2 linked regions of the Arabidopsis thaliana genome follow. The protein of the gene in region 1 interacts with the protein of each later gene in a biochemical or structural test. Each region holds a gene or a part of one and is shown on either strand. Other genes may lie near its edges.

Region 1 (4,945 bases):
TTTTTTTTAGTCCGAAATTAAAGTTAGAATATTAAATTAATTTCCACACACAATCGTTTTTCTTAGTTATTTTACAACTAGCTAGTATAAACGATAACCAAAATGGATGACATCAAAATAATTAATTAGGCCAAAAATAATAATATCAGCAGTCAATAATAAAATTGTGTATGCATGTGTCATGGTACCATTGTTTCTTAAGCTCAAAACATTTATGATGAGCATGGAGGAATATGTGATTTATGTTGACTTGTCATGCATGTATACAATTTATAGCTTCTTCAGTCAACAAAAAAAATTGAAAATGTTAACTTCTCTAAAAGGAGCTTTTCCACAGATTTCAATCAGTTCATGATTTTCTCGATATAAAGTAGGCATGAAATTGACGAATGAAAATGTATGAATTGAAGAAACTATATAATGAAAAACAAGAATCATCAATAAAAATCAAATGTTTCTTACATAGTTTTTTTTTCTTCTTCAAGGAAATCAACTATGTTTTGTTTTTTTATACAATCAGATCATTAGATTAATCGTATGTTTTTGTAACTTAACTTATGTTGATCAGCTTCATTAAAATGAGAGTTTATTCTTGTAAACAAAAAAGTTAGTTGTGATGACTAATATGCGTTTCCGAAACGAAACCCTAAACCCTGCAATAGAAAAGGGATTGTTGAACTTAATTTGTTTTGTGCACGAGAAGATGGATGAAACAGAATTGTTAACCAAAAATCTTATGAACCTAATTCCAAAAATCTTATGAACCTCACAGACTTTGAGAATCGTTTAAATGACTAATGTAAAGATGTGCAAGCAACTGATATGAAGAATTGTTAACCATATATTGTGATATCTCATATTTGTATATATATTTGATATATACAAATATGTTTGTTCCAAATTTTGTTACAAACTACACAGCCAAATATAAGAAGCTATCAAATATTATTTCTTTAGCAAGTTTGAATTAATCAAACGCAGGTCATTATAAATTAAATCATAACAGGTGGTATAAAAACAACGTATTTTGTTAAATTTAAGTGATTGTAGTCTTAGAATTATATATAGGTCTTTTGTTAGAGATGAATAGTTGATTTCTGATGTATTTCCTAGTATTACATCATTAACGCAATGACCATATATAATGATATAGACAACGATGACAGAGAGGTGACTAAGTTAACATGTTATGATCCTCGTCTGAATAAACTAGAAGACTAGCCGCATGAAAATTCTTAGTTAACAAAAAATGATGTTGTCTATATGTATATCTACTACTAATATCATGAACCCAAATTACTCAAGAATTAAAGAAATAATATTCCTAACACAAGTTGGCTTTTCGTAAACTAAACTTACGGTATTGTTTTATGCATCGATCATAATGAATATTTTAAAACACTAAAACATGGTTAAAAAAAAAAGTAATCCACATGCGATTGTTTTGGATTGGTCCTTTTAAATAAACTAAAGTTTTGGCAGAGAGGAACCAAGTAAAAATGGGCATTATCTAAGAATGGTCCTAATTCCAAGAAGATATTACACTCTTTTACAGATTGGACCCAAACACTCATGTGAAGATGAAAAAATAAACTAAGAATACAAAAAGAAGAAAATAAAAGAAAAAATCAGAGATCCCGTCGGAGAAAGAAAAAGAGAAGATAGAGAGATACAAGTAACGGCTTCCACTAATCTTTCGCCTTCTACATTTTTGCTGCTCCGTCCAATTTTTGTGTCTATAAAATAAGACAGCTTCTTTCTCTTGACTTTCCAAATTCACTCAACTTTCTCTCACTCCTTTTTTCTCTCTCTCTCTCTATCCTCTACAGAGCTCGCAGCAACTAGCGCAGGTACTCTCTCTTTCTCACTCCTTAATCTAGATACTAAAGCTGATCATTTTCATATCTCTCAGTAATCCGTTTCGTCTGATCGGGTAAAACACACTTCCAATTACTCCGGTTCCGACCTCGTTGACTTTTTCTTCAGATAGATTCCAAAAAAGTTCTCATCTTTACTTGTTCAATCTCATAGATTCCGATTTGGGTCTGATTGTTACCTCTCCACAACTATTGGGTTCCTCTCAAAACCCTTCGATTTCTTGATCCATCCTTCCTTAATTTTCGATTCTCGAAAACCGTTTTCACAACTTTTTTTTATAAAAAAAAAAATCTGCAAAAAGATCTCTCTGATAAGAATTTTTAAAAACTTTCCCTTTATGGATGCTCTGAAACATAAAAGAGCTTTTAAGTTTATACCTTCCCTTATATTCTCTGTTTTCAAATCTGTCAGAATCTGATCACTCTTTTCTTTTTATCTACTTCAGGATGTTGGAGAAGGTTGAAACTTTCGACATGAACAGAGTCATTGATGAATTCGATGAAATGACTAGAAACGCTCATCAAGTCCAGAAACAAACTTTGAAAGAGATTCTTCTCAAGAACCAATCCGCCATTTACTTACAAAACTGTGGTCTCAATGGAAACGCTACTGACCCTGAAGAAGCTTTCAAATCTATGGTTCCTTTAGTCACTGATGTTGAATTAGAGCCTTACATCAAAAGAATGGTTGATGGTGACACTTCACCTATTCTCACTGGTCACCCTGTTCCTGCCATTTCCTTAAGGTAACTTCCTCTTTTTGCTTTATCATTGATGATTCTGTTTCTCAGTGTGTGTGTTTTTGATCATCAGCTCTGGAACTAGTCAAGGCCGTCCAAAGTTTATTCCTTTCACTGATGAATTAATGGAGAACACATTGCAACTGTTTCGCACTGCTTTTGCCTTCAGAAACAGGTATAGTTTAAATTTGTGTTTATGTTTCCCCCACACACATTTCACACTTTTCTCTGTTCCATCCATTGACATGAACAGAGAAACTAGTGATGTTGTTACTTACCACCGACTATGCCTTAACATGTGATGTTTTTCTTCTTGTACAGAGATTTTCCCATTGATGACAATGGCAAAGCTTTGCAATTTATCTTCAGCAGCAAGCAGTACATATCAACGGGAGGTGTCCCGGTTGGAACCGCAACCACAAACGTGTACCGCAACCCTAACTTCAAAGCTGGGATGAAATCTATAACGTCTCCTTCCTGTAGTCCCGACGAAGTTATCTTTAGTCCTGATGTCCATCAAGCCTTGTATTGCCATCTCTTATCCGGAATTCTCTTCAGAGATCAAGTTCAATACGTCTTTGCCGTCTTTGCTCACGGTCTAGTTCACGCTTTTAGAACCTTTGAACAGGTTTGGGAAGAGATTGTTACCGATATCAAAGATGGTGTCTTAAGCAACCGTATTACTGTCCCATCGGTCCGTACTGCAATGTCGAAGCTGCTCACACCTAACCCTGAGCTAGCTGAGACGATCCGCACCAAATGTATGAGTTTGAGCAACTGGTACGGATTGATTCCCGCGCTCTTCCCCAACGCAAAGTATGTTTACGGGATCATGACTGGCTCCATGGAGCCGTATGTGCCAAAGCTGAGACATTACGCGGGTGATCTACCTCTTGTGAGCCATGACTACGGTAGCTCGGAAGGATGGATTGCTGCTAATGTTACCCCAAGGTTATCTCCAGAGGAAGCTACATTTGCTGTGATTCCGAATCTCGGTTATTTCGAGTTTCTCCCTGTATCTGAAACAGGGGAAGGAGAGGAGAAACCGGTTGGTTTAACTCAAGTCAAGATTGGAGAAGAGTATGAAGTTGTCATCACAAATTACGCAGGTATTACCGTTGTTTTAAGGCTGGAATTAGCGTAGTATCGGTCTCGTAATGGATGCTTATAATTCTCATTTGATCCACATTGCACAGGGTTGTATCGATACCGGCTTGGAGATGTGGTAAAGGTCATTGGTTTCTACAACAACACTCCCCAACTAAAATTCATATGCAGGAGAAACCTGATTCTCTCGATCAACATCGACAAGAACACCGAAAGAGACCTTCAGCTTTCAGTAGAATCGGCTGCAAAGAGACTCTCAGAAGAAAAGATCGAGGTCATAGACTTCTCTAGCTACATCGATGTCTCGACAGATCCAGGACATTACGCTATCTTCTGGGAGATTTCAGGAGAAACAAACGAAGACGTTCTTCAAGATTGCTGCAACTGTTTAGACCGAGCATTCATCGATGCGGGTTACGTTAGTTCCCGGAAATGCAAGACTATTGGAGCCTTGGAGCTGAGAGTTGTCGCAAAAGGAACTTTCCGGAAGATTCAAGAACATTTTCTCGGGCTTGGTTCATCGGCTGGACAGTTTAAGATGCCAAGATGTGTGAAGCCAAGTAATGCTAAGGTTCTCCAAATTCTGTGTGAGAATGTGGTGAGTAGCTACTTCAGCACAGCGTTTTGACTCACTAAAATTGTGTGAAATCAAAGAAAGTGGTTTTTAGTTGTTTATTTCCGTCGTTGTTGTCTTTATTTGTCAATATAGTTTTCTTTACGTTATTTAATTGAGCATAAACTTTTTTTATCTTTATAGAATTTGTATCACAGTGGTTTTACTTTGCTTTTTGTGCAATTAGTGTTTGGGAAATAAATAGATTTCTGATGTGACGTTACCTTTATTATACTTGGAACAAAAAAATCAAGATTCGAATAATTGATTGTCTGTATGGAGAATAAAATTCGGATAATCTAATCTATCTCGATCTGACCTGAACCATATTGTGAAAATATTGTTTTATATTACGATATTCGAAACAATAATGTACGTGTTCGACAATTGAATTTTGGTGCTTCTCTCAAAAACAAGAAGAGATCATAAACAATTAAAAATTTAGAGATCATAAACTCTCTAAATACTTTGCCAAAACAAAAAAAAAACTCTCTAAATATAGATAGTGGTGTGATTTTGTGTGAGAAGCTATACGTGACTACGACATTATTAGTGCGACCGATGTTTATTTAGAGAGTTCTAATTACGAAAAAGTAATCATAGATCTA
Region 2 (4,785 bases), on another chromosome or scaffold:
ATATGCCATCTTATTAAAGTAATCGAGAAATCGGTTTTATGAAGCTTTTTCATATATAGGGTGGTTTCGGTTTGATATCAAGACTCCCGTAGTCGCAAACACACTCTTACAAAGATGGTTCAGAGCTATCAGTTTTTGCTGTTGTTGTTTTCAACGGATGTATATGGTTCAACTATATTTACATTTTTTTTTAAAAGATCCAACTATATTAACATTTCATGACACAATCACTCGATAACCATTGAATATATAGATATTGTAAGACTGACCATGTTCAGTTAACACAAGAAGAGTCCAAATGCTAAATCTTCAAATTTGATGGGCACTAGTCATAGTTTATATGCTAACAACTTTAATAAGAAATTCAAAGGACGTAGCTCGTTGGTGAGCAAAGAATAAGACGACAAGGAGCAATAGGCTTAATGACAGACAATTCGCTAACTTCTAAAGTTGGTCACTTCGTAAGAATGATACAATGAAGCTTAATATTTTAATATATCATATTAGATATTTTTGGTTTTGGTTTTAATCATTTAGATATTTGCATATAACGAATGCAAGTAAAAAACAATTTAGGCGATTGCACAAACCCCACCATTTAGATTTGTTTCCACATATATACTCAATGTTACTATCTTCCAAAACTCATACCAGATTTGTTTTAAACACATTAAACATAGGATCTTCTATGATGAAAGTGTTGTAATGAGCCCGTGTCACCAATTCTCCCATGCATGCTTATTATCGATTTGGGCTCTTTTCAAAGGCCCATCGGTGATATATTGGGCTTTCTAAATGCTGGTTTTGTCTATAGCGCCCAACTTGATCACCTTTAAAATCCTAAACTCATCAAAAACCAAAGACCGAATCCAACTTAGAACACGAATACAAATCATGAATGTTAGATCTAAAGGACAAGGTTCCCTCAAAAAAAATAAGAAATAATTTTATACAAAAGGAAATGAACAAAAGCAATGTTTATGAGTAAACGCCAAGAGGACAAAATGTAGAACACATTGAAATGGTATCAAATACTAAAACACACTGTTCCATATATTAATGCACAATATCACTAAGAGCTGCCATTTATACCAGTGGACCTTCACGGACCATGTGACTGCACCGCTTCTTGAAGGCTCTTCACAGCGCTTTCATAAGTCACAAACCCCATAAACCAGAACTCGTGGTTGTCGATGGAAATCACTTGTATGTATTTATCAGATGTGTTCACTCTACTTGTTGATGGGTTCACTGCCTTCAGCTGATTCGCCGGAAGTACCACCTGATCATCACATCAAAATCATCAGCCACAGACTTTACAAGGAAGAATGACAGAAAATAGACTGCAAGTGCAAGGTTCTCAAGGAACGAAAAAAGGTTCTCAAGAACCACCCAAATCTTAAAATCAGTTTTCCAAAGATCATGTTGTCAAGAAGCTTTCTGCTTGGTTTAATAGGATTTCAGCTCATGTTAGATGTTTACATTAGAACCAGTCCAAACTCTCAAACTAACAATTATTCAATGGCTCCCCTAGTTTTATCAAGAATGCTACAAGATTTAGCTTACTCTCTTAGGCAAACCACTAAAGTCCTAATTGTCTACATAGGAACTAACATGCAACTACTCAACAATATCGTTAGAATGATTATGTAGTTTCCATTTACTATAAGCGTACACACACTACGTTCTATACGTCAATAACTAGAAATGACAAGAAAATTTGTTATAGTCTATGAATCTATGTAAATAGATGCATTGAAAATGACTTAACTCACTTAACGCTTTATCATGTCACCATCAAATATTACATTCGCTGAATCTTTGTTCTCAAATAGTTTTCTTAGATGTAAATAGATATAAAATAAAAGAGTTAGAAAGAAAAAGTAACCATAGGATAGAGAGCGAGTATACCTTGTAATAGCTCCACAGGGTCTGCTCACCCTCTTTGTAAGAGAGAGGATTGTCACTAGAGAACGCAAGCTTGTGAGTCGAAAGATACATAACTCCCAGGACAGGACCAGCAGATGTAGACAAGTAGCAAGCATAGGTCTTGAGAAGTTTTTCATCAGGAAGGCAATCAAATGTTTGCTTGAAGACCTTCTCGTATCCACCCTCTGCAAGTATTTTTGTCCCCTGAGCAATTCGTGAAACAGCAGCATCTGCTACACTTGGGCCTGTTTTCACTGAAAAAGAAAGGATAGATATCAAAACGTATACTCTCAAGTCTCAATTCATATAAAATATCATCCCTCCCTCCAACCATATGTATATAATACTAATTCATCACACAAGCGGAGAAATAAAGCCAAAACAACCTATACTAGAGAAGCTTCAAGAGTCAAAGGCAATAACCAGATACAAAGAACTAATTGGCTTAAACTCAAACGGAAGAGCATGAATATCAAAATTGTTGGCTAGATTTAGTGTCGGTGGTTGAACGCGAAGTAAAATTCCGAAGAAGCGCCAATTGATGAACACTAACTTAACCAGAAGGGGCATAACCAATACCATCGTATTCTCCAAGAGACGGTAATCAGATTAATTGGTAATTCATCTAATCGAGGGGGAAGAAGAAGAAGAAGAAGAAGCGCTTACAGTGCTGCCAAAAATTTCCGGCGAGATCCTCCGCCTTCTTGGTGGCGTCGGCAGCCATTTTCCCCCATTTCCCTAACGTATCCTTCACCGAATCCATCGTATCTGTCCCCAAACCAAGATCAATCAATCAATCAAAGGCAGAAATTGGATTAGGATGCGAAATCGGATAGAGAGAAGAAGAACTCACTCCTTGGGGCAGGGGAAGGAGAAACGTAAGGATTGGATTCCGCTGGCATGGTGGTTGCGGCGGCACCGGTGGGAATAGGCTGAGGAGGAGGAGGAGTGACGTCGGTAGGATCGAGCTTAGGGTAAGGAGCGTAGTCAGAGGAGTGAGCAGCAGCCTTGGAAGGCTCCGACGCGGCGGCGGGCGTAGAAGAGATCCGGCCATGATCATGATTCTCTTGCCCACTCATGATTTGATGTTTTCTTCTTCTTCTTTCGAAATGAACTTTTTATTTTTTTGGTTTGGGTTAAGTAATGAAATAAGAGATGGTTCGAATCTCGCAGGCAACAAATAATAATTGAATTAAAATGTCTGTCCGCGTTACGTTGGCATTATTAATCGTAAATAATTTAAGTAGCCTCTTTCCCAAAGTCGGTCTAACATATATATCTCGTGCGGTCTTAAACAGTAGACGAAACTTAATGCAATTAGTTTCTGTAACGGATACTAGTATTCAATTATACCTTTCCTCTAGAACATATCCATAATCCATGTATGTACACCGGTTTTGTGCCCGTTTATCTTCCTCAAGAAATTCAGACCTTCTTCACTTACGATTTTTGTTTTAACTAAAAAATATCTTATTCTAACTTTTTGATTGCTTGGTTTATGTTTTTTAGTTTGGAGTCCAGACCATAATCCGTCCGTGTGTATTTGGACTGTAAAAACCCACATGCGGTCCACCCAATTGACAGTTCTAATCATAATAACAACAACAAAACAAGTTAGATTGTAACCGCTATTGATATACCACAAAAAATTGCTATTTTTTCCGATGAAGGTTAAGAGTGTCTTTATCATTTCGGACATTCGACGATAAAATTTTGTTGTGTTGAAAACATAGTTACCATATCAAAAAACTAGTTTTCATCCAAAAAGAAAAGTTGATTCACATTCTTCTTGATGGTATTTAAACGAATGACATTTTTTTGAAGTTTCATATAGCTCAAACACTCAACGGTTTAAATGAAGCTTCTTATATAAACCTCAAAATCAGATTGAACCTAAATGATCTTGGGAACTCAAGTCCGTATCCATAAAGCTTACTTTTTATAATCCAAGCAGCATCTAAGTTACATTTATCAAACCTTTTTCCAAATTTTCTAAGACTATATGTGTACAAGGATTTTATTCACAAAATTAACGGTGTTGAAGAAATTCTACAACATCTTTTTCCAAATCACTTTCAACTTTTAATTCAAACAGTTAACTTGTAAATAGTCTAACTCACTATTTTCTTTACCGCTACAAAATAACGACCGCCAATTTTTTACCATTTTGTTTTTACCGTTTCACTAAATTAATTAACTACGGAGAATGAGAGAATACGTGTTTAACCCATTTCGAGTCTTCTGAACCAGAGAGAGACTCTGGACGTAGTGGCGAGAAAGCAAAAGATTTAGCGAACGTCTCTTCTCTCGTCTCTCGTCAGCATATGCGTAAGAGCATCTCCATTGGTGAGATACTCCATGAGTACCTCATAATATATTATTAATATTTTAATTTAAGTAGAGAAACTTATACTAAAATTGTGCTTCCATTGGTGAAATACTCTTATGAGTATCTCATTAACATTAACATATTATTATATGTTTTTTATATTAAATTTAAAATCTCTACAATATTTTCAAACATATCAATTATTATTTTTACAATTATATTATTAAATAGTTTTATTATTTTTAAAACCATAATTAAACATAATTAAACATAATTAAACATTACTTTACATATAAAATCATAATAAAAAATATATCAATTAAACATAAAATTCCATATAAAACCATGATAACATAAATTAAATAGAAAAAATATATAAATTACACAGAAATTACATATAAAACCATGATAACATAAATCAAAACTAACTATATTATCTATTATGGTTTTACTCTTCATTTGATAATGCACCAAACTTTTGTCATATATGCTCAACTAGGTCATCTTTTAGTTGTTGGTGCATATCT

The links. The genes of interacting proteins can lie anywhere in the genome.
Region 2: the proteins of JAR1 (region 1) and FIP1 form a complex in vitro, tested with the Arabidopsis thaliana proteins (one study listed by BioGRID).

Annotation. Positions count from the first base shown.
Region 1 is NC_003071.7:19,032,018-19,036,962, forward strand, and holds JAR1 (Auxin-responsive GH3 family protein), read left to right. Parts: upstream 1-1,723; 5' UTR 1,724-2,215; coding exon 2,216-2,247; intron 2,248-2,323; coding exon 2,324-2,623; intron 2,624-2,690; coding exon 2,691-2,792; intron 2,793-2,938; coding exon 2,939-3,726; intron 3,727-3,813; coding exon 3,814-4,352; 3' UTR 4,353-4,428; downstream 4,429-4,945. UniProt on the Arabidopsis thaliana protein: Catalyzes the synthesis of jasmonates-amino acid conjugates by adenylation; can use Ile and, in vitro at least, Val, Leu and Phe as conjugating amino acids on jasmonic acid (JA) and 9,10-dihydro-JA substrates, and to a lower extent, on 3-oxo-2-(2Z-pentenyl)-cyclopentane-1-butyric acid (OPC-4) and 12-hydroxy-JA (12-OH-JA).
Region 2 is NC_003070.9:9,849,293-9,854,077, forward strand, and holds FIP1 (FH interacting protein 1), read right to left. Parts: upstream 3,158-4,785; 5' UTR 3,009-3,157; coding exon 2,783-3,008; intron 2,698-2,782; coding exon 2,596-2,697; intron 2,184-2,595; coding exon 1,912-2,183; intron 1,283-1,911; coding exon 1,103-1,282; 3' UTR 1,093-1,102; exon of another isoform or gene 841-1,092; 3' UTR 552-840; downstream 1-551.